Linked DNA regions of Lytechinus pictus. The protein of the gene in region 2 interacts with the protein of the main gene of each other region in a pairwise test. Links are inferred from orthologs where the notes say so. Each region holds a gene or a part of one and is shown on either strand. Other genes may lie near its edges.

What was found.
Region 1: the proteins of replication factor C subunit 4-like (region 2) and replication factor C subunit 1-like interact in a two-hybrid assay, tested with the Caenorhabditis elegans proteins (3 studies listed by BioGRID). The link is inferred for Lytechinus pictus from reciprocal best matches to the Caenorhabditis elegans genes rfc-4 and rfc-1.
Region 3: the proteins of replication factor C subunit 4-like (region 2) and PRKCA-binding protein-like interact in a two-hybrid assay, tested with the Caenorhabditis elegans proteins (3 studies listed by BioGRID). The link is inferred for Lytechinus pictus from reciprocal best matches to the Caenorhabditis elegans genes rfc-4 and Y57G11C.22.

The regions. Positions count from the first base shown.
Region 1 is NC_087245.1:40,463,954-40,472,038, forward strand, and holds the start of replication factor C subunit 1-like, read left to right. Parts: upstream 1-4,696; 5' UTR 4,697-4,856; coding exon 4,857-4,865; intron 4,866-6,520; coding exon 6,521-6,701; intron 6,702-8,057; coding exon 8,058-8,085.
Region 2 is NC_087260.1:5,934,355-5,941,896, reverse strand, and holds the start of replication factor C subunit 4-like, read left to right. Parts: upstream 1-4,188; 5' UTR 4,189-4,352; intron 4,353-7,542. UniProt on the Caenorhabditis elegans protein: The elongation of primed DNA templates by DNA polymerase delta and epsilon requires the action of the accessory proteins PCNA and activator 1. This subunit may be involved in the elongation of the multiprimed DNA template.
Region 3 is NC_087254.1:35,283,776-35,292,045, reverse strand, and holds the start of PRKCA-binding protein-like, read right to left. Parts: upstream 3,493-8,270; 5' UTR 3,478-3,492; coding exon 3,407-3,477; intron 3,044-3,406; exon of another isoform or gene 2,604-3,043; coding exon of another isoform or gene 2,548-2,603; intron 1-2,547.

The DNA.
Region 1 (8,085 bases), on a different chromosome or scaffold from region 2:
TACACTTTTAGGACTTTTTCGTTAGCATGTCCCCCCAAAAAATGGTACGAGAAAATATGGTAATATGCATCTATACTTTTTTTGTTGGTGTTGATTATTTATTTATTTTATTAGTCAATTATTGAATTATTGGTGTTAAAGAAAGCCCCCCCCCCCCCCGAAGTAAATCTCAGATCCGCCCCTGAATTTTGAGCCAGACCGTCCAATGTAAAAAAAAGATACATAAAAAGCATTGCACCATCGCGCCATCACATTTCCAAGACTTTTTTTTGCACGGGTTAAGTAGCTCCAGCATGGCCAATGCCGGTTACATTTTCTATACAATGGAGAAAAATTAGAAAGAAGAAAGATACACGTCAATCTTGTTACACAGGGGCCGCGGAACGGTTTTCAAAGTGGGGGGCTGAGCCAAAAGTGGGGGGGGGGGGGGCTGACCATGCTAAAAATCACAATCATATGGTCATTTTTACGTTTTTGTACACAGTTTTGGAAAAAAAAGAGGGGGGGGGGGGCTGAAGCCCCCCAGCCCCCCGGTTCCGCAGCCCCTGTTACAAGTCGATACCTAATTCCATAAAAAAAATATATCAAGCCAACAGCATCTGCATCTAGATGTGTGTCACCTGGGAAATGGAATTACATTTGTATTTAAAGGCTGATTCCTTAAATACTTTTTAAAGTTTTATATAATTCTTACTACCTAATATAAATTCGAGGGAATTCGTATACTAGGCCTACATCACAGGCCTAATATTTAAAGACAGGAGTTTTAAAACGCCGGCATTCTGACCAAACCTGAACACATTAAGATTGTAAATCTATTTTATTCTTCTTTCTCCATAATTACAAAATCGTCAGGAAATTTCGTCGGCGCCATTCTACAAACGACAATGGAGCAACAAAACATAAAACAAAAAGGTTGACTGATATACCAAGGAGAGTGATATCTCCTTGGATATACAGCGATTCCGCCGGTGAATGAAGATATTAAACGCCTAAATTGCTAGATGATATCGAAATCATTTCATTTTTATTGCCGAGTGGATTACTGAGTTTTTTTTTCTTATTAGTGATCTCAGATAAGGGAACGTAATTGAATTTCGATTTGTGTTTTTATTGTCGTCAAATTGGGAATCAAAATAGGAAAAGTTAATGACCGACTGCATGGATTCAACGAGGGGGAACGACGTGACAGATGGGTAGATGAAGAATAAAGGGATAGAAGAAGATGGAGGTGGAGGGAGATATAGAAGGAGGAAGAGAAAGAGAGAGAGAGAGAGAGGGGGATGATATAGGGGTGGTTTTATATCAGTACAATTTTGTTTTTATTGTCTAAAGTAGAATCAGATATAAGGTATTGCATGAAGGTAAGTATAAGATAAAGATATTTAAGTTTGCTTTATTATCAAGCATTTTTTAAGAATGAGAAAATAATTTAAACAATTGCAAAATTGATAAAACACCTTTTAGGGGATCTATATATAGGCCTGCCACCCTTTGGCTGCACGGATAATGGGAAATTTTAGTTTTATTAAGCGGGTAAATGCGAATAATATTGATGATGACAATAAATATGTGGGCTTCAATAATAATAATTATCGTTATTTTTTTAAGTAAGCAAACAATTAATTCATTTATTTCATCAATATATACCCATTTGCAACTGTAAGCTCATTATTTTTTGTCTATTATTGATTGGTATTTCTGCATTTGTATATTGAAAATGGGTTTAGAGATCAAATAAACCAATAAATTCAAATTCAATCATGCATGTATTCACTTATTTCTTTTATTAGTTTATCATTATTTTTTTAATTTTTTTTTATTGGGGGGGGGGGGGGGGGTGTGCTGCACTATCCCTACTCGGTCAGTAGTATCAAGGTTGCGATAGCAGTAACACAACGTCATCATTATAAGCATCAGCAGCAGTATTAAAAAAAAAACATCCTGAAAGAAAAAAATACATTGACCCCGCACATGACCCTAAATACTTCTCTTTTTTTTTTTTTGCTTTCTGACGTGCCCTTTAAAGAAATTCTTGGATAAGAGCTGCGGGCTTGAATATGAAATATTGCGACGGACAAGCTAAATAGTCAGTCCTGCATGTATTATTTTATTTCGCTTGCTATGATCAGTACCATAAAGGATGGCAAATTGAGAGATTATACCTCAAGTAATATGACATGCACAAAGTGGACAGATGAATTTGGTATAATTCCGAAAGCAGGTGATCACATTAGGCACAATACAAGAAATCATCACGACGAGAACTGGGCCCCGTTGTACAAAGAGTTACGATTGATCCGATCAATCACAACTATGGAAAGCCAGCAAAGTCAACATATGAAATGCATGTTTGTTCAAAAAAAATTCTAGATATGAATGCAAATCCATAAATTCATTGATTTCTTGACAATTCGGGGTGTTCTCCTTTGATTACAAAGGACATTTGCAAATTTCCTGTAGAAAAAATTATGACACTGATGGATTTCCATAGAGTTACGATTGATCGGATCAATCGTAACTCTTTGTACAACGGGGCCCAGATGTCACTAATGTCCACTCTAAATTTACAGGGATTTTAAATAAATCCACATCGGCGGTAGTCGGTAGACAGTGACCAACCTGAAATAAGGATTTAGATTGATTGACTGATTAATCATGTGCGGGGTCAATGTATTTTTTTCTTTCAGGATCTGTTGTTTTTTATACTCCTGCTGATGCTTATAATGATGACGTTGTGTTACTGCTATCGCAATTCTCCAGAATTTGAATCTAATTAAATTTTGGTCACAACTCACAACCGATCTGTATTTATTCAAAGTATAGTGTCATGGTATCTCAAATGCAGACATTGTTATGAAGGGGAAAAAAAATAGGCAATAGTTCATCTCGCAATGAAAAACTCAAATCCTTTTACAGTTAGATGACAAAGTAACATAATGGAAATTAAAGGCGTAAGAGCTTATGTAAATATAATTGAATACACTGATTTATACTTACTTTTCTGTAGACATCCTGTCTGTTTTGTCTGTTGTTGCTATGAATCAGATGACAGACCGCGGGAAAAAAAAGAGACACAAAATTGAGAATCCCAGCTGTGAATGGTTCGGTTGGGCGGTGATCGCTTGCTACTACCTGCCCTGGTTTCACGAACTATAGACGTGTCCAAGACAGTTGGTTGGAAGAAATTGTGATTGTTGATGATTTTCAGAGAATGAGCATTGATGAGCTCAAGTGTGGACCGGACGATTGCTCCCTGATTTGAGATTTATTGAATGACAAAAGGATGATAGTTCCCAAATACGTGATTTTACCTGGGGTGCCCTGTAATGAGGTCAGTATTAAAGTTGAGCCTGTCACTTTCTCAGGCTGGCGGAGCGAGGGGCAGCGGATGGCTAATAATGAAGATCGAAGTTCATGTTTGGAGGTGCACGCCTATACGGATCAGTGGGTATGGTATATTAGAAAGTGGGAGATAGTGATGGAGGGGGAGAGAGATGGAGGCAGAGATAGAGAGAGATGGAGAGAGAGGGAGAGAGAGCTAGGGATTGACAGACGGACACACACCCCACCCCAGTCAGTCCGCACAGCGTATGTATAATGCGGGATGTAATGGCACGGAGCCCGTCAGTGTATGGTGGGGCCGGGGGGGGGGGGGGGGGGGAGGCATGCATATGCAGAGATTGAAGAAGAGAGTTTTAGAGAGACTTGAGAGAGGGAGGGTGAAAGAAAAGAAAGTGGTCATTGCTGGATGGGCGGGGCGGGGTCGGGGTAACTGTCAGAATTTAAACGCTCTTCCAAGACATGATCCTTAATTTGGATCAGGAGCGGCGCCAGGGTATTTGACGGGTGGGGCGAGCTGATGGTGATGTATTTTTTCTTCAATTGAATATTAGGTCATATTAATAACAATTACAAACGACCAAAAAGTCTCTTCTTTCTTTTTTTCCTCCCCTTCCGTCTTTTCGTCATTATTTTTGCTTAATTCTCTCCTATTTTTTTCTTTGTATTCAAAGCTTGAAAATTCATAGGGGCAGTCGCCCCTGCCCTCTGCTGTGATTGTGGTTATTATCATTATTATTAATTATTAATTATTATCATTATCATTACTATTATTATTATTATTATCATCATCAACATCATCATCATTATCAATTAATTATACTATCATCTATACTTGTTTTGTTTATATTGATTGTCAAAATACATCAGAGCTGGGCTATTGGTGTTGAAGTTAGAAAATTAGGAGACTTAGGATCCAAGTCGTGAGTCACCAGGCCATGTATTTGTTGAAAGCACTAGAAAGGGGGTCCTCCCTAGTGATAACGGCTATCGTAAGCAGGGTCATAAGGCACTGAAAGTCCCGCAGGAATGAAAAAAACCCCATAAAGCCAATTGAAGAACTCGTCGCGTTTTAAGTGAAAGTTACAAAAATGAGCAACCCCCTCTATCTCCCCCCTCAAAATAAGGAAACGCATTCTTCATCACTGATCCCCAACACTTTCATCTCGTAATGGTAGACAACTATAAAAATAACAAAAATCGGAGAGATGCCCTTTTCGAAAAGTTTTCCGAGTTTCCTTTCCCTCCATCCCCTCCATGCTGCGCTTGGCCACTCCCCTTCCCCCTCCGATCAATCTCTGGCATATCACGTGATTTATAGTGCGATCAGGTGATCATGATGGGCTGGCCCCCCATTCATTTCAAGTTTTTATTCGTAATCTTTACGAATCGACGGGGAACAGCGAACGCAACTTCAGCGCGCGAGCGCGAATGACAACAACATGGGTTAGTAGTTCGACTGAGCTGAGCTGAATTGAATTGAATGACGGCTTATGTCAAACAGCTGATTAATCATGTCGATGGTAAATATTCTGAATTGCATGCACATTTTAATGCTTTGACGTAGGCCTATGGTTACTTTTAGACATTCAGTGATTTCAAATCCTTTCGTTGAAAAAATGCCCTTTCAATTTGAAGTTGAAACGGAATTAAATAAAAAATTCGAAATTGTGTCCTGACCATGATGACTCGTCGTGATGCCTGATGGTCCCGTCGTGATGACGAATTGAGATGGGAATTGGACTAACGTTAGGTTTTTCAGGCTAGTTTCAGTGTCATCTGATGCAAAGAAGTGATGGATGAATGTGGAAAACTAGAAGAAACCTAACGAGTGAATGAGGGAGGATATGGTTGGCCCAGGGATCTAGATCTAGCTAGCTAGAGTAGAGTCTAACTTGTTGAGTTAGAAATTTTTGTTGCAAGAAAATATTTGCGATCAATTGCAAATATTTTGTTGCAATTTTACAACATACTTTTTAGATCAACGTCAGTTATAGCAAATCAGATTTAACTTCTTGTTTCAAGGAGCAGATTAGCAATCACTAATTTGCAATTTACTGCAAGACATTTGAGTGATTTAGGGACCATATATAGATCGCAATTGATCGCAAGTTTCTTGCAACACGGTACACCCGAGTCGATCTCGATCTGTTCTTACTGTCTTAGTTAGATCAAGATCTAACTTACACATGTCATGACATGCGTGACCCAAAAAACATGTTTTTAAACTAAAGTCTATATGTCTGGTCGCATGTGCACTTGTTAAGGGTATAAAAAACAATGATTTTTTTTTAAAGGTGGTTCAGAAAGACTGGTCAATCATGGATGGTCAATTATGTTCAATCCCGGGGTCAAATGTATTAGGGTAATTTTTTCTTTCCAAAGGCAAGGCTTTTTTTTTAAGAGTAGCCAAACGTGTTTAGAACTTTAGGGTATATTTTTTCCCAAGCTTTTTCCCTGCATGGGGCCAAAATGTGTAAATGAAGCCTGTGAAAAACTTGTTCAGGGGTTATTTTGCACACAGAGAAAATCTTGTTTAGGCCCATGTTTGGAAATAATTTGGTCACGCATGTGTACAGCAATATATTTGACTGGCCCCATCACCCCCACCCCCCCCCCTCAAGATGGTTGGCCAGGTATTTATTTAGTACAGACTTTCACTTGTGACTTTTTCAAACCCCCTCTGTGAAAAAAAAAAAGATCCAACTAACGTTAGTTAGAGTTGTAAAATCTAGAATCTTGACTTGTTTAGAACTATTTGACTATTTCAAAATGTAACTTTAGGGTCTGAGTTGGAGATAGTGAAAATACACTTGACAGTGGAAACAAGACTTCAAAATTGCAAAATTAATTGCATTTTATTTTCCCAGTTGATATGCAGTATTTTTTAATGAAGGAAAGGATTGGTCGAAATGCATGCCAAAAGGCTTAAATCATGAAAATGAATGTTTGACAGTTTGGTAATGATACATGTTTCCGTGCAGTCATGACTATAAACTAATGGATGGATTCAAATGAAGAGGGGGGGGGGGGGATGGGAGGTGGGGGGGTGAGGGATTGCTCCCATGTAGTACATTTTACTAGTGGCCAACCTGCTAGTGGCATGCAGTCATGTGCATGCACTGACAATGATAAAGACAGACTTGATCTAACAATAAATTTATAAATCATATTCCAGGACATTCGATCCTTCTTCGGCAGCCCAGGAAGGGGTAAGTCTGCATCCAGTTCAGCTAAGCAGAGCAATGGCAAGGGTAAGAGAAAGCACAATGACGATGACGGAGACTTCGTGCAAAGTGAGAAGAAGCAACGCCACTCGGCCAAATCAATGAAGAAATCCAACATCATTTATGACTCTGGTAAAGTGAAGGTGTTAATGTACTTAAATGAATGATTCACATCCTGTGTGTCTTTCATAAATACTAAACACAAGGATGAGAAACTGTCTTGAATTCTGAGAAAATTTTTCCCTTCAATGAGTACATGAAATAAATACAAAATTATATTCATGTCTAGTACTCTGCTCCCATCTTCTCTTCTTTTGTCATATTTGCAAGACTTGTATCAGAGTTACTAGCAAGGTGAATTAAAACATTCAAGAGTTCAGGTTAAAATGTAACCACATAATGGCCTCCAAAATTTACAAATTAAGAGAATTATATACATAGTAATAGTGGAAAATTAGTATAGACGGGGAATGATAAAATAAAAATCTAACATTTATTAAAATGAGCAGAAAGGTTACCATGCTGTTTACGGATGAGGTATTCTTTGTTATACACTGCACTGTATGAAGCGAGGTTTAAAGAAAGCAAAGTCAGGGATTTATTTTGAAGTTTGCAGAGATAAAGTATTTTAAGAAGAGAAAATTGAATAAAATAAAGAGAAAACTTGTCAGGGCATCCATATTTTTTCCTCCATTTTGAACCTGTTGACTTAAAATTTTCAGCATTTTAGGTATCAAGATCTAGTAGTGCTATAAAAAAAAAAATCAATGAGTGGGACAAGGAAAAATTAAATTAAAATCCCAAGCATGTTGGGCTTGATCATTTGGTAATCTACACTGAGTGATGAGTGAGAGGCTTTGTTGGATGCCAAAAGAACTTAATTGCTTTAGAAGCATGATCATTCATCCTTTCCCTGACATTTCATTTTCTTGCCTCAGACATTTTCAGAAATGAATGTAAATTAAGGTTTTGAATTGCAACAAATCAATTCAATACCTAATAATATAATGTTCAATATATTATGTTGTTAAATATTATAAGTTTTCATTTCATTAGTGATGTAACTTTAATGCATTGATTTTATTTGTTATAATTTGTATTAAGTATTTTAGGATTAAGGTTTAGGTTTATTGTATACATGTAATTCAGATCAGGTTTAATGTATAATTTAGTAATTAAATATATTTTGTAAAGCGCATAGAGAATCTTTTGACTATTATGCGCTATATAAATTTCAAATATTTTTATTAGTATTACCTTGAAGTTTAAAACAGGAACATGATCATGAAACTTGTTCCTAGTTTCAAATTTTCTTGAAGTGAGGTTATAAAGTGTACAAAAAGTGTGCAATTCATAAATGCTTTTTCTCTAGAAACCCTTGTGAACAGGTTCAGAAGGCAACCCTCCTATTCATCATAATCTACACAATTTTTCCAAAATATTCTTTACCTGTTATGTTAGTTTCACTTTTACATTGAACATTCATAGACTCAGACGACGAACCACCCCAATCCAA
Region 2 (7,542 bases):
CAGTGAATTCATCATCATAAAAAATGCCTTGGCACAAAACTAAATTGAATTCTTGAAATTTATAATTTTTTTCTAATTAAAAAGAGATTAAAAAGAGAGTCTGTGGAGATGAAGATCTGCATCAGTCACAGAGGGCCTCACAAAAATGTGCTCAAAATTAAAAGTTTTTGAGCGCTCTTGTGAATAAAAAAAAAAGATTTCTAAGTCTAAAATGAAAACAAATAACTGAATGGATCTGTCTTTTTGAGTGTGCATTGTACATGAATGTTGCGTAGACTCAAGACAGAAAGAGTGGTTGGAGAGTGCAAGAGGATGGGGTGCTTCCACTCTTCCCGCAATTCAAGAAACTTTTACTTTTTCCAGGAAAGGTTCCAGAAATGAAAAAAATCCAGGAAATTCAGGGAAATCCAAAAATTACAAGGGGGGCCCCTTGAGAAGCAAAATTTAAAATTGTAATGTAGAAATGCAGAAGTGTGCCCCCCCCCTTTGAACGTGAAGTCCCTTTTATTTTTGCATGTCAATTTTTTCCTCAGGAAAATGTGCCTCCCCTTTTGGAAAATCCTGGATCCGCCCATGATTACAATTAAATGACAATTTACCGTAGCAACTTTAAAATATTCATGTAATATTTTACAAAGATTTAGATCTAACATTAGATCTTCCTCCGGATCCAGACATAGGCTCCGTCGTCGGAGCTCAAAATTTTCTGCCCTCGTCATTTCGTAATTTTGTTCCTATTTTTCAAGAGGACATGACAAACAAGAATGTTTTATTTCTTGATTTTGGTCACTTCTTGGACCTAATTTAGGCTCACTGTATTAATTATTATTGCCAGATTTTCATTAAAAATCAAAATGGAAAATTCCAGGAATTGTCTATGAATTTCAGAAAATTTAGGATTCATTTTCAGGAAATTTGTTTTGGATCTTGGAACATCGATGAGGGGTTTGGTGTCCGGACACTGAAAAATGAAGCCTTGTATTTGTAGAAGTTTAGGCTTGCTGTTGTTTATCTCACTGACTTGTTTTTGTTTTTTTTCTCTCACTTCTCAGCAAAATAAAGCAAAAAATATAGCTTGGATAATGCTTATCACCATCATTATTTGTTCTTTATAATATTTTCTTACATTCTGAGCTAAAAAAAAATCAAAGACATTGCTTGTATTTTTTGTAAACTTTTCAAAATTAAAGGAGATGTCGTGAGTCCGGACCCAACCCGTCAGGAAACACAACCACAGCGTATATCGGGCTGCGCGTTTCCGTTTTACACCCTGGCGAAGGCATTTTCCGCAAAAATAGCCCCAAAGCGACTAGTGAAGAGTCTACACACGTCGCTGGTTGCAGCGTGCGACACATGCACAGGCGAGTCCCACACCACCGCATGCAATCTGCACAGTTACTGATCAGAGCATTTCATGTACAGAGAGCAGTCATGTGAGTGAAATCCGAACATGCTTTTGCAGTTAGGTTTTTTTTATGAAAAGTTAAGAAAAAGTTTTTTTTCTAAATATAAATTATTAACTAAATGAATAGAATGACAGACAAAATAAAAATAAACAGATACATACAATAAAAAGAAAATTGAAGTTTGATGGATTGATACACTTAGATATAGAAGACTGATAAATAGATAGAGACATAGATAGATAGATTGATAGATAGATAGATGGGGGGGGGGGGAGAACTTGAGAGATGGAGAGATGTTATAGATAGATAGATAGATAGATTGATAGATAGATAGATATATGGACGGATAAAGAGAAATAGAGAGAGAGAAAAAAAGACAGACAGATGGATAGATAGAGAGAGAGAGAATCTGAGAGATATATATTAGATAGATAGATAAAGAATGAGAGAGACAGAGAAGATGGGCAAATTAACAGATAGATAGATACTGTAGTTACATAGATAGATAGATAAATAGATAGATAGATAGAGAGAAATAGAGAAAGACAGACAGATGGATAGATAGATAGAGAGAGGGGAGAGAGAGAGAGATAGAGAATTTGAGAGATAGGTAGATGTTAGATAGACAGATAAATAAAGAATGAGAGAGACAGAGAAGATAGACAAATTAACAGATAGATAGATACTGTAGTTACATAGCTAGATAAATAGATAGAAGATAGATAGATAGATAGATGGGGGAGAGACCTTGAGAGAGGGAGAGATGTTATAGATAGATAGATATATATATGGACGGAAAAAGAGAAATAGAGAAAGAGAGAAAACAAGACAGATGGATAGATAGATAGATAAAGAATGAGAGAGACAGAGAAGATTAACAGATAGATAGATAGATACTGTAGTTACATAGATATTAGATAGAGATAGAATTTGAGAGATAGATTAAAAAATAGATAGATAGAAGATAGATAGATAGATAGAGAGAGAGAAGACAGAAAGATGGATAGATAGATAGAGAGAGGGGGAGAGAGAGATAGAGAATTGAGAGATATAGATAGATGTTAGATAGATAAAGAATGAGAGAGACAGAGAAGAGCGACAAATTAACAGATAGATAGATACTGCAGTTACATATAGATAGATAGATTGATAGAGAGAGAACTAGAGAACTAGAGAACTAGAGAAAGACAGATGGATAGATAGATGTTAGATAGATAAAGAATGAGAGACAGAGAAGATTAACATATAGATAGATACTGTAGTTACATAGATAGATAGATAGATAGATCTATATAGATATAATTTGAGAGATAGATATATAGACGGATAGAGAGAAAAAGACAGACAGATGGATAGATAGAGAGAATTTGAGATCAAAGACTGAAATAAGTGAATGTTTACATACAAATAGAATCATAACAAAATATAAAGTAAACATTATAAATAAATATCAAATACAATACAAATTCATACAGATGAAAAAGAAATGTATCATAAATAAATACAAAGGGCCAAAAGTAATACAAAGTGTCACCAAAGAAGAAAAAAGCGGAATGAAAGATTAAGAAGAAAGAGGTGAGAGAAGGGAAAGAAATTGGGATAAGACAAAGAGAAGGGAAAGCAAGAGGGGGAATTTGAAAGAGAATAGGAGGCAACCTTTAGAAAAAAAAACTCATTATGCAATACAAGACATTTAACAATGGTAACAAGTAAATAAAGTAGTAATTGAATCGAATCGAGCACAAAAAAGGGAAAAGTAGAGCTGAGGAAATAGACTCCCGAAGGAAGTCGAGGCAGTGTTGATATTGCACATGAGTAGATTAATAGATGGATAGAGAGAAATAAAAGAGAGACAGATGTATAGATAGAGAATTTGAGAGATAGATGTTAGATGGATAGATAGATAGATAGGTAGATAGAGAATGAGAGAGACAGAGTAGATAGACAAATTAACAGATAGATATATCATGTAGTTCCATAGATTGATTTATAAGATAGATAGCGGATAGACAGATATGATAGATATAAGGATAGATATAATATGAAAAAAGGTAATTATGTGTTTTATTTTTCAATATTTTAGCTATTATTCGTTTTCATTCATATAAACGATCATGTGCGATAAAGTAAAAAAAAAAATCATGAAGCCAACGTATATAGTTCAGCGGAACAACCAAAATACAGAGACTGAAGCTTTTGGTCTATAAGCTCAGCTGCATTTGCACGTATGTTCTGCGGATATCTTCGGTGCGGACTTTTGGATCGCGCGCCCAGCTGATTATGTAAACAAACGTAGACGTAGACTCTTCACTAGTCGCTTTGTGGCTATTTTTCCGGAAAATGCCTTCGCCAGGGTGTAAAACGGAAACGCGCTATCGGGCTACTGAGCCAGCCCCACTGCCGGCTACAGTTGCCAGTCCCATACCGTATCTTTACTGTCATGTTTACGCCTTGGAACTATTAAAAATTAGTAAAAAAGCATGTTAAAATTCAAAATTATTGCAAACCAATCATATCAAAATGAAGCACATAAAATTCTCTTTAAAAACTATCATTTTGTTTTTCTTAATAACAATTTTTATTACCTGAAATTTGTTGTCGAAAAATCTCCCCCATTGACTTTGTACACAAACTTCGGTGAATTTGGAACTATTCAAAAGCTCCATGAGCAAATGACGGCTACTTCCGGTGTCGCAACCTTGTTTATATAGGGCCTTGGTTCGTTGCAGAGTTATCAATAGACAGAGTGGCGAAACCGGAAGTGTACTCTGATTGGTCCGATATTTCATGGAGCCCCAATTAGTTCCCTCTGGCATATTTTCTGCGCTTGTGATCTTCTGCTTAGTGCATGCCTCCGGAAATTTCAATAAACTACACATTTTCTCACATTTAGTGATTAAATACCTCGACACTTTCAACTCATGGATATATTTTCTAGACGCCAATGTGAGTATTTTAACATATAAAGTTAACTTTTTGTAGATACATCTGGTGTTATTTTTTCGTAAATCGGCTTCCAAAATAATGTCGAAAAAAGTGTTTGGTATGAGAGAAAAATTGCATTTTTTTTCAAGTTTTGTGTCATCATGTTTTGCACCTCAACGTGTTGTAATAGTGTTTTACAATGACTGTCAAGGTTGAATGATCTTTCAACAAGTTGTTTCATGTTATTTTTGGGGAAATCCATTTATTTTCTACCAAAAACAGTTCATAAAATTTAGCATATGGGACTACCCTTCATAAGACCCTAGCCAAAGATAAGGAGCTGCGCCGCCGGAGCTTTCGGCGGCGGAAACCTTAGCCCACTCTATAGGCCGTAGGCGGTTAATTGCAGGGATGGAGCCACCAACTCAGCGGGTGAGGGCACTTTTCAACTTAGTCTAAGACTAAGTTATATTACACAGGAATAACCGTCGTTTCTGGGATTTTATTCAACAATTCCTGACATTTTACTGTAATCCCCATTTATGTATTGGTGAGTGAGCCAACACAGTTCAGCGGAACAACCAAAATACAGAGACTGAATGAAGCTTTTGGTCTAAAGTTGGATCTACTAGTCTTAATCTGAATTTTACTAATATATAGATGGAAATATCCCATTAGAGAGGAAAGTATCCCTATATATATTTAGACTATTTTGTTATTAAGGCCAAAGTGTTAAAACTCCTGATTTTAGAAAACCCGTATGCCTAGGTCTAATTTAGACCCTAAGACTAGAGTAAATATTAAGACTGAAGGCTGCAGTGCAGTTGAGTTGTTACATTAAAATTTTTAATCTAACAAAGGAACTGCAGTGCTTGAGTAAATTTACTCTGGACTAGGGTCTAGTGAAGATCTATAGTAGATGTAGACCTAGTCTAATCCTAGTAGATAAAAAAATCCAAGTCCAAGACCAGAGCTTACCTATCAAGACAGACAGTGATTCAATTAAGATTACTTTATTAATGCAGAAGAAATAATGATTCAAAGTGCTTTGACCTGTGTCCTCACAAGCAATAATGGATCTACATCTACATGTACAAATATCAGATTTGCTGCATGCATGGACCTAGTAGGTCCATGCTGCATGTAACCCATCTGTGTTTGGTGTGTGGTGATTGTCATGAGTTCATCTAGCTATTACTATGTTAGTACAAGTTCAGGGCCTATACTGACAGTACTCACTACCGTACCTTTATTCACTCATAGAGTACGTTAGCTTTGTGTGATTAATTCAATATGTGTTAACGTATGTATATGCTTTGACCTTATAACTGTGACAACAGCACTTGCTTGGACTGATGAGGAAAATGGCACAGGTCTAATAGTCACATTATGTATTATCTGCTGGTTATTGTACTTGCTCACTAATTTTTTTATCATAATGGCATGTGCTTTCAAAGGTCATGCAATTAAGGTAATGACTTCAGTGACTGCAAGTTTTAAGCATCAACTTTGGAAACAACTAGCTGAACAGAGTCATGGGAACAGAATTTATTCATTTCATAGACTGTAATCAATAATTATCATTGTTTTCTGGGGTTGCCACGCAGTCAAGCTTAGCTTAAAGTGGCAACCCCTGCAACCTTCTAAAAATCATATTTGGTTTATTTGAAGATTTATGTCATTTGTATTTTCTGATATGTTTTATTTATTGTAATTATTGTATTATAATTTTTTTGGGAAAAATGAATAAATAAATAAATGAAATGAAAAATATCAATATGTATTAATATAAAATACAATTTGTTCAATGTTTTGCTTGTCAGTTATTCGCATATTATTATTGTATTTTCTTTGTTAATGTGTTTATGAAAAAGTGTTGCTGAAACCAATAAATGAAATGAAATGAAATATCTTAGCTGATAATGTTTTAAAACAATTTATCAAGGAATAAATGTTAACACAATCAGAACCTAATGCAAATTTCGAACTTAAGTAAAATATATGTTCATTCCCCTTTGTAATAATTGTGCAATTTTGATAGAATGAACAACTTTATATTGATATCAATTTTATGTATAATTGTTTTTTTATTTTCATAAATTTGTCGTTATGGTATTTTCCTTTGTTCCACAAATGCATCATGTCATTGGGACTACTGTATTACATTTTCAATAAAATTTCCTTGTCATCACCTTGTGTTGCAGGATGTACATTTTTATTTCCATATACCCATCTTTTTTAGGTTATATCAAAATGCATTTCCATATAGTGTCTGTTATTCAAATTTTAAATTCATTAATAAAAAATCTAGTTTATTCAAAATCGATTCAACAGCCTGAATGTTTAATTCACTGCATGTGATAATGTAAATGGGAAAATTGAAAAAATAAATTGTTCACCCTTATTCTTTTCACCAAGATGTAATTTTCCAATTGAATTTTATTTTCATTTTTATTGTCATTCTAAATAGGTTGTAGGCTTATATATAGGATGTGCACGCGCAAATCAAAGTTATTTATGATTATAGTCAGTTGACCTTTAGTGGATGTGAAGGAGGGAGTGGCGTAACACAATTTTGGATCCACCTTCTTGTGCATAGAGAAATGTATTTCTTACATGGAAATCACTTATGATATATTATTGTTTTCTCTTTCAGATAAATCCTATCAGGTTATGCAGTCTAGTTATTTTGTCTCTCATTTTCAATATTCGTCCTTGATCCTGTTAAAGCTATAAGCTTTCCATTTTTAAATATGCATTACAAGCGTTTAATTAGTTGAGATTCTGTTTTTCTTTTTTTTCTTTTTTTCATTACACAGTGTTACACCACACAATAGAAAGGAAGAGGGAAATCGGAGAACAGAAGAGAGAGAAAGAGAGAGACCCAGAGATGAGAGGGGCAAAGAGAGTGATAGATAAAGGGAGGGGTATATTCACAACTAAAAGATTATTGACAGTTTCCACCATTTGCCAGAATTGTCAGATTAAATCAATCAAAAGAAATGGAAATAACATTTTTGTTATGTGACAACTATTGCCAATCAGCAAATTCATAATCAAGTGAAATCACGATTACTATAGGAAAGTAAAAAAGTGCCGAAAATACACTGTAAAAAATAATGAGTAAAATTTTACCACCATGATGGTAATTATGTGTCCAACCTATTTTGGAAAGTATTTTACCATGTTTACCCAATGCGGGAAGCATATT
Region 3 (8,270 bases), on a different chromosome or scaffold from region 2:
AGTGGGAGTGCAAGCAGACTTCTCCAGAAATTGGTCAGATACACACTTTCAATGTTTCAATAACAAAAAAAGAAACCAAAAACATTGAGATTTGAGAGAGAAAGAGAGAGACGGATATACCAGGGTGACCAGACAATCCGTACTTTAAGGGAAAGTCCCTATTTCACAAATTTGTCCTGCATCCCGTATATTGACCTCGAAGGAAGTGTCCCGTATTTCAACTGCCAAAATCTGGTCACCCTCGGACATACAAAGAGGGGATGAAAAGAGCTTAATGTGTACCGGTAATCTGGTAATGCACTAGTGGAGTCGACTCCTCTCAGAACCGAAGCCTTAGGTCAGAACCAACTCTGGGAAAGCTGGAAATTGCCCAAGCCTAATACAATACATATATGTTGATATCATTTTCAAGTCAAATTTAGTATTTCTCGAACAGATTTCCATCGTTCCTAGAGATTCGAGTAAGGCAGATCCACTTGTAGTTTTAATACTCCATGATCTCATTTGCAAATCACATGTACTACATGTACCATCCAGCTGGCGCAGAAAACGCTAAACTTGACCTACACAAACAAAACCTCAAAAGAATAAATGTTTGTCAAGTACACACAATGCATACCAGAGCTCTGGAGCGATAGACATGGTTTTCAACAAATACTATAGTCTGTTGAATTTGTTGAATAACGGAAACTTACTCAAACAGGGAGAGTTAAAATTTACAAACTGGCAGGACCATACGGTAGCAAATACTAGCAATTAATCAACTGATTTCATATGGCCCATAAGTTAATATAAAATGCATATAAATTTCATTTTTTTAATGGTTCATGACCTATTTTTCTTTCTTTTTTTTCTTTTTAGGAACGGGTGTGAAATAATTTGTGTATTGATATACTAGAGATACAGTAAAATTTTCGATTTTCTGAGAAAATGACATTTCATTGATATTTAACCAAATGATATGTAGAAAAGTTGCTGGCATATGACGTCACAAATCAAATAATTCAAATTCTAATAACTTTTTTTATTCTTTGATGGATTTTTCTCAAACATGATCTACTGAATGCTACAAGCAGGATTTGCTGAAGTCCTGCCTTTGGCCCGAAGAAATAGTTTGAAAATCAACCCACAGAAGACTGAAGTGATTCATGTTTCATCTAGGATTAATTCTGCTTTAACACCAGCTTGTATTGAAACAGACGGGGTGGATGTACATGAGACAACTAAAGCACACAATCTGGGCTTTCACATGGATCAACAGTTCAACACCTTCAACTAAAACAACAATGTGTTCATTGAGAAGAATTGCAAAAATTCAGAACTACTTGTGTAAAAAGACCACTGAAAAGTTGATTCATTATATCTGTCTGATCTGATATCTGGATGTGTCCCGCAATAAAAATCTCCGCTCTTCTAACCAGAATTTATCAATTGCGCCAATGTCTAAAACATGTTCGTTTGGGGATCGTGCCTTGGAAGCTCCTTGCTTTTTGTTAGCAGCACCTGTACTGTACCTGGAATAAATTGCCTAATCATCTGAGGGCCATCACTTGTACTTCTTAAAGACATACCGTAGTTTGTTCTCACGTTAGATTGTTTTGTTTAAAAGGTACGGTATGTTGCAAAGTTTTTGTTACATGTAGTTTTTCATTCATGTTTTTTTTTATTTAAAGTTTATTAGTATTAGACTAAACTACTTTTATGTAAAGCGCATAGAGATTCTGTCAAATATTATGCACTATATAAACCTTTGGAAATATTTTTCATCATTTTTTTTCTTTTTTTACAATAAAATTATCCTATTTTTACAATAAATTTATCCTTTAATCAGCAACAAGGAAACCAAAACATCTTTTCACATGTACAAATTTGACTATTTAGAGAAAAGAAGGAACATTAATCTTTTAAAGTCAAATAAAATCAATTTCAAGATCCCTAAAACCAAAATATCAAAGAAAATACAATCCAATCTAGAACGGTCAAAATATCAAGAGCACTACATGTAAAAACTTTCAAACTCTATATTTGCAAATAATACATCTAAAGTATATCGTTAACAAGAGTGTCGCTATTAAGGTGAGCAAATAATACGCCCGCCTGTAACGCGGAAAATGGAGAACATGTATTGGTCAAGCAAGAAAAGTGGAAGGTGGAGACTTCACCTTTGACCTTTTGACCTCCAAATCGATAGGCTTCCTGGGATCCATGCTAGTATCATACGCACCAAATTATATGAGCCTAGGTTAAGTTAAACTAAAGTTATTGCGTTTACAAGGAAAACATGTCACTGTGAACTTGATCTTTGACCTCAAAATCAATAGGCTTCCTGGGATCCATGCTAGTATCATACACACCAAATTATATGAGCCTAGGTTAAGTTAAACTGAAGTTATCACGTTTACAAAGAAAAGTTAACAAGTAGACAGACAGACGGACACCGAACGTGATACCATAATAAGTCCTGTAGGACGGGCTCCCTGCGCATAAAAAATATATTAAAGTACCCTGCTCAACGAAAGGGTACTAAAATGTTTTTTATTAACTTACAGCTTATCTTCACAGGCCATGAATCCTTCTGGGGTCTTTATAACTTCCACTGGCATATCGTCTCTAATAAAATAATGTATTTAATGGAAATATTTATTGGTTCTCTGTTCCTTTTTAAAAGTTTTTCTTTAGTGAATAATGAAGCAGCTATCTCACGGATGCATTCTCCATTGCTAAAAGTGCTAGAAACAAGTTCCATCAAGCAAATGAATTACTTCAAACCTGAAGTATGTGATAACTGTTCTCCCATTCAGGTATCTTCAAATTCAATAATGTTTGTGGAAACTTTGCAAACACATTCTAATGTCCATTCTTCTGATACAATGTTCTTTTCATAATAAAAATGTGATGGTGCAGGCTCTAAGACAAATCCAGTATGATCTTGATGGAATGATAAAAGCTGATTATTCCTTTTAAACTCTTGTCAGTTTCCAATCACTCAGGTCAGATCCACAATGCCGCTTTTACTGATCCAATAAGTATCCTAAGATAATGCAAAACTTTTAAATAGGCCTATTCACTTTACGACTTCCATTAATGTATCTGCATCCCAAATAGAAGCTACAATGTACATGAATACATGTATGAGCAAATGTACATGCTTTTAAGATTACACAGATACTCTTCTGGTAGGCAAACAGGACAGCTTGTTGAAAAAAATAAAACCCTCCAATACATGTAAGAATTATTATTGTGCTGGTATGTGAAATCAATAGACAGCTTTTCATGAAATAAAAGAGATCTGGGCTACCAGAGCGTGGCTTAATATCCTTTTCATCATACTTCCAAGGTCCCTGGTTCATAAAGGTTTCCACTCAAACTTTGATCGACCAAGCCTAAAAGTAGCAAAGAAACTTACAACAGACCAAGCCAACTAAACAGTCTTATATTCAAGGGTGAAACATGAAGAAGTATTTGCAAAGCATACATGAATTAATGTAAACAGAAATAGAAGAGTATAAGTGCAATCGCTGTGTACAAGACTTAATCTCTGACATGCACAAACCAAGAACAACATTTTTTTTTTTACAATGACATCCAGTCGATGTGAGAACAGACTATTCTCCTTTGATATGCAAATGAAGGGGATACAATACTGGTATTGATTGGTATTTGTATGAAAATAGTGTATTGTATTTATTTCGTTGTCAAATTATCTCAAGGCTTTAGGTGTGAGAATCTCCATACACATACATGTAGCTGTATATGTACAACTTGCGCTTCATACACACTTTTCACAATGTTGTTTGACGATAGCAGTCCATCCAACTTGACAGTAATGTATGCCTGGTTCATGAGTAAATCTTTTATAGAGGAGATAAATTTGAAATATCACAGTGCACTGAAAAACGTTATTTCTGTTTTTTTTTTAAGTACGGGAAGAGAGAGAGTGAGAGAGAGAAAAAAAATGAGTACGTGTATGAAATTACCATTATGTACAGTTAACAAACAATACATACTTTAAGTCTTTATTCAGAAAAAAGTCTCTAAAAAGGTCCTGTTTCACAAAGGCATGTAATAACAACAAATGCACAAGATTACTATCAGCCAATCAAATTGATGGATTTCAGTAGCTCTAAACATTTATATTGCAAATTTGTTATGATAACAAGTTTTGTGAAAATTGGCCCCAGATGTGTCCCCCTGACTCCCCCACCTTATCTTGATGGCAAAACTTGTTTGAAAAACAAAACAAAACCATCTTGGTTTGCTGATGGAAAATGAAGTAAATGCATTGTAATAAATGATTCTGTGATCCATGTAAACTTGTACATGTATCTCCATACTATGTTTTGAAAAGTAAATACAGAATGAGGATACACTTATAAAAGTCATGGAAAACCTTTGTGAGCAGCTCCAAATGTTATTTTTTTTAGAATTTTAAGTTCCAGCAATCATATTTAATTGGTAGATAATATATCATGGAAAAACAAGCCTAGTAACACAGGTTCTGACCTTAGTTTTACACAAGAAAAGGGGGAAGAGAAATGTCATAATTGATAACATGACTTCATACATATTAGGCCTTCATGTTCATATCTCAATAAAAAGAGTGATTAAAACAAAAATCAAAGTAAACTTGATCAATCTTTAATTTTTTCTTGATGTTTTGTTTGAGCTCATTACAAAAAAAAAGAGATACACAACTTTCATATTATCCTTTATTTTTATTTTTCCTTTCTTCCCTTTTTCACACTAAATTGTCTTTCTTCTAAATTGATTCAAATCAGACAATGAACCATTGCTCTACAAAATGCATGCATATAAATCTTTTTAAAACATGTGTTCTCATTCAATAAAGACATTTCAGTTTTGTAACAAGATGTGAACAAGTATCAAACATTGTGCTGTAGTTACCACTAGAGGGCAGCAGTCTTGAAAATCAACTTCAAGCTCTTTCAGGATGATACAGTACACTCAGTTTTGATGTACATGTATGTAAACACATTGTTTACTATGTAATTTTCAATTCGCTAATTTGTGAATTGGTGTCCAAACTCCAAAGTGTCCACAGTATTCTTTTCTTCAGTGGATATTTTCTAGTTGGAAGTATTTGTAAGTTTATCAAATCCAGAAAATGCACTGTCATCAGACAAATGATAAAGAATGAAATTTCAATGACTTGCATTTTTACTGGTGATAATATTGGTATTGCACCACATGCATACATGTAGTACTTCAACAGTAAAACCTGGGAGTTTTTATGCATTATAAAAGGCAAATGAAAACAGAATACATGCATTTCAGTTATTGAGGAGTTTGGTATCTAGTGACTGATTTCATAAGTTAGGGTAAGACAGATTTTTTTAACAGTGTTAATGTACTTTATATGTATTGGCCTACATGTATTATGTATGTGGTCTTTGAAATGAATTTGAAAGAAATGCACGACTCATTTTTTTTTCTTAGCTTTCCTATTTTCTTATGCGATTCATTAATTCATTCATTTTTCGGGGTATACAGGCACAGTGCCAAGAATTTTTTTTGAGGGGGTGCATTTTATGTCCCCCAAATTAGATGAACCCCCCCACCACAAAAAAGGCCATCAGTCCAAAATGAAGGCATTTTAGGGGTGCTCCATTATCATTATTATTTCTTTTCAAATCCTGCCCCCACCCCCCTTGAATATGCAATTTGGTACAGTTACATGTACTGATTAAACTGCAGGCTGAAAGGATCAGTTAACAATTCACAACAAATACAAGTATACACAGTGTTATAGCTAATGTACATGTACAGTAGACGGCAGTTGTTGGGCCCAACCAGCACAGACTAATTCCATCCACCACTAATTTAAAAGAGGAATTGCTTTGCGTCCACTTCCATCTTTAATCTGGTTTTATTTGCATAATTTACATTAAACATTCTTATATTTGATTTTTTTTCAAAGATTTCCTAATGTCAGATTAATACATTAATGTTCCTTAGTCACTTTTGGCTTTAATTTTAAGACCACTAACTCGCCTGAAAAAACTTTGTAATGCCGTAAAATAGTGACCGCCACTAAAATGGTTCAAGCTAGAACACTGATTACTATTACATTATATGAAAATTGTATCACTGAAAATTAAATATTGATACAAAAAAGGAAATATAAATTAGGAGCAATTTTGAAAAGGAACCCTCAATATCCTTTTTGAAAGGGCTCTTCACTATAAAATGTTTTGGGTTTTTTGTTGTTGTTTTTTTACATGTTTTCATCCTATGGGAATGATTTTCCTCTGAATGAAATCTACACTTACACATTGCAGCATAACAAAATGGCATAGATTTAAAATTTACATACCGGTATATGTACATGTACATGTATGCAACACATAAACAACAAAATAACAAGACAAAAAACCTTTTTTCAACCTTGCCTTGCAACTTTTTCATTTTTATTTCAAGTTATTGCTAACCTTACATAACTACATGTATGTTGCAAATATCATATTTCCACTCTTTGTCCTCTGTGTATATTCTTTGTAAAATGCAAGGAAGTATTCAGGTCATTTTGCGGAAACAATGTTCATGAATATCAGACATGATGTAAGTCTTGTCCAGTCAGTGACTAACTCTTAAAAAGTTAATTTAAATTAAAATAATAGTTTAAAAATAAGAAATAAAACATTTTCCTTTTCCCCTCCTGCTGTAAAATTTTAAGTGTTATCATTCATTTTTTTAAATATCTTCAATAGAAAAATGCATTTTAAAAAAAAGAGAAAAATCCTGACTATACAAACAGAATGTAGACTTGAGCTCTGCATTAGAGGGCTACATTGTAAATTGACACAGAATAGTCGAGACCTGGATAATGAGAGCTACAGTGTATATAGTTAAAGGAAAATGAAAGGATAGATTTATTATCTGATCATAAAGTGATTACATTTCACTGAGTAAAATAAAATTAAAATGAGGCAGAATGGTTTCCTATTTCCCATGATATGCCAAGTCAAAGTTATCAATATTTTGATATTTGAAAGACCCGTGGAGATCGCCATTTTGCTCATACTCCCTATATCTCCGTGGGGGGTTGTGACGTCAGCGACGTACAACTCGGTGTCCGACCTCGGCACTCGCCTTTGATTGCTAGCATAAAATACATGGGCCAGAGTGGTCAGAAAGGGGCACAAAATGCAGCTTTTGCCAAATTCCTGATCCGCAGAAGAGGCCAGAAATCTCTTTAAAAAATGAGTGGCTGCACTAAAGGTGGAGAAATACAACAATTCTTCAAAATTCACGAGGAATGATGTTATTCGTAGCGAGCATTTTACCGATTTCTTCGGCCGAGTATTGGGACTCGAAGTCGTAGGCTCTCGGGCCTTCTAACTAAGTTCTATTTCAATACAAACGTCAGATAAGTTTTGTTTTACTTAAAATCGACGGTAACAAATAATAAACAACGTTAGATATATTGAAAAATAGCACAATTAACAATTTAACGATATTCAAACGGGATAGAGAACCAAACTTCCAACATAACAGTTAACACGATCACTCGGTTGTGGGCCGGCGGTCGGCACTCGAGGGTTCATTACATGCTGCCGCGCACAGAAAAATCAAGCCACAGAAGTCGTGTGTTGTGGACACCAGAAGGAAGATCCCAGCACGCGCGACCCACTAGATAGAAATCCACTGCCAAACGCGGTTTACGGTGCTGGCTTATAATACTAACCTCGCAATACGTGTGATGAGTGGGTGGCCGGGGACGGCTGTACTGTCTACGTACAAATTTAGCTTTGTCAAATTTGCCAATTTGGTAATCGTAAATAAATGTGTAAACATTTTCATCAAAACTCATCAATTTGTGTTTTAAACCATAAAATAATTTGAATAGCTTTTTGATAATATTTTCAAGTGTTTTTATGTGTATATTATATTTATTTCTTGTAAAAAAAGTATCTATATTATGCGAACTCGGGGTTGGTTTCAGCCTGTGACTAGCTGCACATGGAAGCTAGTACTGAGAGCAGTTGTACGTCGCTGATGTCACAATTTTGAACGAACCTCGCAACAATGGCGATCTCCATTCAGAGACTTTGAACGTGAAGAAGTCTAACTTTGAAGAGGTGGTACTCCACTTTGGGAAATCGGATATGGGTATAAGTGGATTCATTTTGATTATCATTTACTTATCAATGATATTAAGTGGTATTACATTTTGGGTTTCATTCTCCTTTAAGTTAGTTTATCATCATACCACAGCCTCCGCTGACTTGCATAACAACTTACATTTAAAA